Linked DNA regions of Cricetulus griseus. The protein of the gene in region 1 interacts with the protein of each later gene in a pairwise test. Links are inferred from orthologs where the notes say so. Each region holds a gene or a part of one and is shown on either strand. Other genes may lie near its edges.

Evidence for each region.
Region 2: the proteins of Rbpms (region 1) and CUNH1orf94 interact in binary tests that used the Homo sapiens proteins (3 or more experiments, as listed by UniProt). The two-hybrid records come from large-scale screens. The link is inferred for Cricetulus griseus from reciprocal best matches to the Homo sapiens genes RBPMS and C1orf94.

What each region holds. Positions count from the first base shown.
Region 1 is NW_023276807.1:50,950,732-50,954,383, reverse strand, and holds part of Rbpms (RNA-binding protein with multiple splicing), read right to left. Parts: intron 2,824-3,652; coding exon 2,746-2,823; intron 654-2,745; coding exon 615-653; intron 1-614.
Region 2 is NC_048595.1:25,048,495-25,052,146, reverse strand, and holds part of CUNH1orf94 (uncharacterized protein C1orf94 homolog), read right to left. Parts: intron 1,004-3,652; coding exon 315-1,003; intron 1-314.

The DNA of each region.
Region 1 (3,652 bases):
CAAGGCCATCAACTGCCACCTCTAGCCTTTCTATTTTGTACATCTCACTCTACACCTGAGATTTTGTGATTCCTTATCATATGTCTATAAATACACCATCAAGAGAACTACTCAATAATTTTGAGTAGAGCTGGAGAGATGGCTCAGCTGACTGTTCTTCCTGAAGACCTAGCTTTGATTCCCAGCACCAACATCATGGCTCACAACTGTATGTAATTAAAGTTACAGGGGCCTGAGGGCTTCTTCTGGCCATTATGGGTATTGGATGAAGAGACACAGCATAGGGGCAGGCAAAACATCTATGTATTCATAAAGGAAATAACATACCTCAAAAAATTAAGACTAAGAATCTGGATAATACAATTTGTTTATTGAAGAAACAAATTAGTTTCAATATAACTCTAGAGACCTTGGAGGCACTGTTTGTACCTTCTGAACCTCAGAAACTTCCTATTTGAAGACTGTGGAATTACACACATTTTCCTATACTAATCCCAATCAATTTCACCTTCAATTTTGATAACACATAGGTCAAAATCCTAGCTGAAACAAAAGAATATTTATCAGGCTTCATTAGCAAAAGGCAGTCATTTTTAGGAGTTCTAAATTCTTACCTGTTTAGATGTGAGCTTTATAAGAGAACCTTCATAGCCCTGAAATATAAAGAGCAAGTTTAGAAAGAAGGAAGGGAGAATTATAAATCCATCTTCCTCAAGTGAGTCACTTAAGAAAAGGACTATCAACTATGTTGCACTTCTCAATGCCTCCAAAGTTGGCTGTGGACACATTATAGACACAGACATAAGACACACAGGGTGGTCCAGCATACACAAAAGCCTTGGATTTAGCCCCCAATATTGCAAAATAAAACAAGATAGCCATATGAAAACTACCAGGAAGGGCTGAGCAGGAGACATGCAGCATTCTGCTGATCTCTGCTTGCTTACTCAACGAGGCCATTTCCATGGTGGAATCTGATAAGAACATGAAACACTCCCCTGTGTTTCTGTTCCAGCTCATGTGCAGGAGTTGAAGGCATTCCTGTCTTTCTCTAGCTGATTTCTGGAAAGATCAATAGCTAGTAGCATGCACTGACAGGTGACACAAAGGGGAGGAAATACACCAATTGACAAGAGCAACCGCTAAACACATCTGTATAGAGACAGATCAGCAACCAGGGCCAGCTGCCCTGGGCTAAAATTAAAGGAGGGTTGCTAGGGATGTCCCAAGGTCCTGACTTCAGCATTGGAATTTCTGTCCAGGTTGCAGGGACTGGTTCATCCTCACCAATTCCCAGTAGAAAACTGTTAATGTAAACATTTCCACCCAAGGCCTTCAGCACTGCCTATTCCTACTCTCTACAAGGGGCTCTTTCTCTTAGAAATCAATGAGATTTAAAACCTTGAAGGTCTCAGACACCAAGGACAAATGCTATTTCACTCGGGTGAAACAGCACTAGCTGGGTCATACCATGTTGAGGTCACAGACAGGAATCAAAGGGTTCCCTCTGCTGTCACTGCTACTGGTGCATTATGGGAATGACCATCTTTCCACACTCACACGTGCCTTCCCAGCACATCAACTATACCCACATCTTTGGGGATCATACCTAGCTGTTTCCTGACCCTTTCTCCTATCCAACCCTTGGGTTTGTTGCATTGCCACATCCCTACCAAGCTGAATCCAGTAGCTCAATTGTCTTCAAGCAGGTTAGTCTTGGATCAGAAACCCCCTGTCTCTACCAGGGTTCAGTAATCTTCCTACTACTAACAAAACCTCCCTTAACCCACAGGTCATAAACCCATGATGCCCTTCAGGTCTCATTAAAGTTTCCAAAGGCCAATGTTCAACGTTTCTTCTTGACAGTATAGTTATGTCAGTTTTAGCCAACTTTAAGGTTAAGCTCAACTGTTAAAAGTTTCAATCCAAGACCGGGTATTAGTGGCACAAGCCTTTAATCCCAGCACTCAGGAGGCAGAGGCAGCAGATCTCTGTGAGTTCGAGACCAGCCTGGTCTACAAGACTTAGTTCCAGGAAAGCCTCCAAAGCCACAGAGAAAACCTGTCTCGAAAACAAAACAAAACAAAAAATTTCAATCCAGCAATATTTAGTATCTCTTAAGTGATCGAATTTCCATAGGAAAAATGGCTAACTCCACTAGAAATTTCCCTTCAGTTCATACAAAGTTAGCATATACTATTTTGTCTTGTTGAACATTTATGTGTTTGGTGTAAAAGAAGCACAGGGTTCTTAATCCCAAAGAATGCTTATTCAAGTCCATACAGAAGTGTCCAAAGCGCTACTCCAGTCAATAAAGCTACCAACAGGGCTCAGATCATATTGCTGCATTTCAACTATAAATATGTAGTAACTTATTTATACCATTTTGAAGGAGGGTGTGATGCTTGAAAAAAAAAAAAATCAAATCCATGGCCTTATACACATTAGGTAAGTGTTCTACCAGACGGCTAGTATATTCCTAACCCACTCTGAAACTCTTATGCTCTGCACTTAGGGGTGTGCCTCTAGCTGAAGGTTACTAAAATTGATCTACATGGAATAGAGAATGCTGGGACCTAAGGACAATGTCAGACTAGCATCCCAGTGAGATGTCAGAACTCTGATGTTAACTTTGTTTTGCTTATTAACATCTAAAAACAAAAAAAAAAAGATTGTTGCAGGCACTGGCTCCAACATATCCCTCCCGCCCCCCCTTAAGGCCCCAGGGAAACATTTGTAAAGTACCTTGAATGGTCTGAAGAGCAGGTAGAGCTCCCGGGGTTTGATGTCCAGGGGCAGACCACTGACAAATAGGGTCCGGACCTAGAAAACAATGTGACAGGTGAGCAGGGTGTGGAAAACCCAGAAGTCAATCTTCATCTTCAACAGATCCATGACTCCTCTAACAATGTTCTTTCTAAGACACGATGAACTAACTGCCCCATATAATTTTAATATTAGTTTAAAACTGTGTCATGAGGACAGTAAGTTTTCTTCTCTAACCAAAGCAATATGACAGACTTAAAAAGAAAAAAGTAAATCTTTCGTTTCTCTTGCTTTGGTCTCTTGTCACTATGTCCCTTAATGGTGTTGACTGCCATTATTTTAATAAGCATTAAAGTTCGGAGATTATATGCAGCACCTACACAGGAGCCAGCAGACATTGCTCTGCTTCTCTGACTGCCATTTCTTCTGTGTTCTTTGTCACAACCAACACATAAACCTTCAAGGTACCCATTAGGTGCCAATGACAAGTCATTAGGATATGTGTGTAAACACACTCGATGGGAGACACTGAATACAACAATGTGTCTGATGTCTCCTAAAATATACAACACTGACATGATGCTTCTGGCTGAAAACCAGAGGAAGCAAGTTACCATCGGAACTAGAACCTAAAAGAATTGGTAGGATTTTCCCAGGAAGAAATGAGGGTGAAGTGGGGGCAGGAAAGCACAGGGCCCCACAGTACATTCTGGGGGCAGGGTGGGCCAGACTACACAAAGAACCTAGGGTCACACCATAGGGCATACATTTAAAATCTCCTGACTCAGGAACCTGATGTGGAATAAGCATTTCAGTTCTTTCCCTCTCCTCAGACCAATACAACATGACTGCGCTCCTCATTAGACACTGTGTTCAATCATTAACC
Region 2 (3,652 bases), on another chromosome or scaffold:
TCTAGCTCAATCAGAGGGCTACGTGTCCCAATCCCAGGAAATAAGATGGAGAGCCACAGAGGATGTCGCCTGACACCTCTGCCTCCAGGCATACATACACACACACACACACACACACACACACACACACACACACACACACACGGGGAGAGGAGAGAGAGAGAGAGAGAGAGAGAGAGACAGAGACAGAGACAGAGAGAGACTCTGCGTTGTTTTGCTTTGCACCAAGATGCACTATAACGTTGATCATATTTTCTGATCAAGGCCCTCCTCCCTGGTAACCCCCTCACCTCCCTGCTCCCAGGCCCACTCACCAATCCAGTGGTGGCCATCAAGAGTGGAGTCAGCCTCATTCTTGGAGCAGATCTTGGCAAACACTGGAAGCTGCCTTTTTGGAGGAGAGAACTCAGGGAGCTTGTCAGGGGGTGCAGGAGGAGGTGGGGGTGGCAGCAGCAGGAATGGGCCCAGCCCCATGGGCTCCCGGGGTCCAGAGCCATTGAACATGCTATTCTGCAGGAAATCTTTAATGACCTTGGTCTCTTCCAGCACCATCTTGTTGTCAGGGGCCTTGGACATTTCGGTAGACTTCAGTGGGAACTGGGCCAGGAGCTTGCTGATCTCTGAATTAGAGGCACTCAGGCTATGGCTCTTGTCCTTTGTTCCCTTGACACTCTTGACCTTGGCAGCACGAAGGATGCCTGTGACTGTAGACATGGCAGAATCACAGTCCTGCCTGCTACTGATGATGGGCACGGACAGCTTCTGCTCCCGAAGCTTGTCACCAGCTGTTACAGAGGATCCTGGGTATTCAGTGCTGTCTGCCCCCAGAGGAGGCACAAGAAAGCAGGGAGCCAGCTCCCGGGTCCCCTGGGGAGTGACAATAGGTGTTGCCAGCTCCCCAGAGCTCTCTTGGACCAAGATGAGATGTTCTTTGGTGAGACTTAAGAACTCCTGCTCCACCAGCAGGGAGATCTCATCCTTGCCCCCGCTCAGCTCCAGAGCTCTGCAAAAGGTTCAAAGACATGGCGGAGTTAGTGCTCTCATCCACCAGTAGCTCTGCCAGCAGGATGCAGGCTGTGGGATACAGGCCTCGGGGAAAGAAGGTGGGGCCACAACCTGTTGAAAACCATTCTTTCCTAATGAGAAAAACCTGTTGCTTTCTCAAGAGGGAAAAATGGACCAGGTGGACACAAAGCCAATATCACCCGCTAGGCTATAGTGCTGAAGATGTCTGCCCCTTCCTCCTCAGTCCCCAAGGCAACAAACAGTAGAGAGATGGTTCACTGGGGAAATTTGCCCAGCAGCAAAGTCTGTGACTAAGCAGTTCAAAGAACAAGATCTAGAGCCTGAAGAAGTTTCCAGGAATACAATACAGTAAGTCCCCTATTGCAGGCTGGCGGACTGCACAGTTAAGACTCACAGCTGTCTCTGTAACTTTCAATCTGTGTGACCCTGAGCAAGTTGTTCAGCATCGCAGATACTCCAATATCCTGTGTGATTCCCAGGAATATCACAGAGGGGTGTTTGAACAGTGCAGACACTCTGTCACAGGGTCACACACCTGTCAGTGCTTATGTCCACATAAGGTCAGGCTCATAGTCTGACCTGACCTTGAACCTTGGATTCCACAGTGTGCCCATCTGGACATCTGTATCTACTCTTGCTGGCATGGCCTCTGATGGGGTCATGGCATCTGAATTGGAACATTATTGTGGATGACAACAACACTTGGCTGGAACCTGAACCAGTTCATACAGCTCTCCCTGTCCCTATGTTCCCCTGTCCCCCTGTCCCTGATCTCCATTAGTGATCCAACATCCCGATGGTGCTTGATGAGCTAATGAATTCCCAGCTCCTGATTACTGGTTCTCCTCAAGTGAGGGAGAAGTTGGTAACCCTGCCCTCTCAACTACCCCCCAGCAAATTTGGTGAGGGGGCACCTTCCTCCACTACATTCCCAGGGGAGCCAGGGTCCTCCAGCTTAGAAGTACCTGCTATGCATACATGAAGGTTCCTGGGAAGGATAGATAGAATTACCTATGCCTGGAATGTTCTGGAAACTTGATTCAGCAGCCACTTAAGGCACATAAAGAGAAAGACAGTTAAGAGGCAGAAGGGGAAAAAATAAAAGGGATACACGAGTGGGGCTCAGCTGCTGCGGCTTCACTGTGGGCAAACCAAAGCGTGGTCTGTCTGACAATCCACTCTCCACTAAGAAGGCACAAGAAATACCCCAAACAGTGTTCATGGGATGTCCCTGCCTTCCTGTAGTGCTGTTTGCTTATGAGGGCGGACACACACACACACACACACACACACACACACACCTTGATGCACACAGGACTGCACAGAAACAGGCAGGCTCACAGTTCACTCAGAACCAGGAGAGCAGAGCCTGCCCTTGACAGTCCACAGGGGAAGGCTCACTTCCTACTCTCAATCTCTCTTTCCTTCATACTCTTCTCTCTCCCTGGCCCTCTCGAATATTCCCTTCCTTTTGCTGCCTTTCCATGTCTAGACTTAGGGCTAAAAATAGGCCCTGCTCTCACCGCTGTGCCCCAGGAACAATCAGAGTAAAAGAGGGTGCCCCAAGTTTCGGTTCCTCCTCCTTAAAAGGAATCAGGTAAGTCTCAAGTCTTAGGGCCCAGCCACTTGAAGGACCAGTTTTTGCTTCCCCTACCCATATCCACTGCCTGGCAATACCAGCTGTGTGCCAATAGCTTTTGTCAATTAGCCTCACCCCAAGGATGCTTGCTTTTTTAACACTGTGAACCTGTCATTGTGGTCACACTTAAACAACAACCAAAAGCAGCCGTTATCTCTCGGAACTACATGCTAAATATGTATAGATCAATTGTGCCTGGGGTTTCCCTTAAAACTAATCCAGTTGAGGGAGGAAGAGAGCGAGGGAGAGGGCACAACCGACCAGCTCCTTCATAGGCTATACATGTCAGTCATGGGGAAAGCTAGAAGCAGACACATGGGGCCATTGAGATAGCCAGTCTACTGGTGTCTATATTTGGTTTCTGGGTTACACACACACACACATACACACACACACACACACACACACACACACACACACACACACTTGTCACCACTGAATCCTCAAAAGTGTCAAGTGGCAGGAAAGCGGCTTCTTTCCCTCTCTGTGCATTTGTGCCTGTGAGTGCCTGTGAATATGTATGAACTGTGAGTGTGCAGATGTGTGTACGTGTATATGCACGTGGGGGGAGGGATTTATGTGTGCTCTTGTATGTGTTGAAGCCAGAGGTCAACTTCAATCATCTTCCTCAGGGACATTATTCACAGGCTCTCTTACTGGCCTAGAGTTCATCCACCAGTTGACCAGTAAACTCCAGCAATCCTCCAGTCTCTGGCTCCTTAGGGATGGGATTGCAAGTACATTTCACTACACCTGCCATTTTTATGTGGGTTCTGGAAACTGAATTTTGGCCCTCACACTTCAAGACTGAGCCATCCCCTAAGTCCTCCACAAAAACACCTTCTAAAAGACCTTGATGTCCCTGTATCGAAACATCCCAGGCATAATCCCTACTTGACACCCAACTGACACTCTTGTCATTCCCAGCCTGAAAAAAGGTGATGGAAAAAGACCCATGGGTGCTGAATGGGAATTCCTATGCTGCCC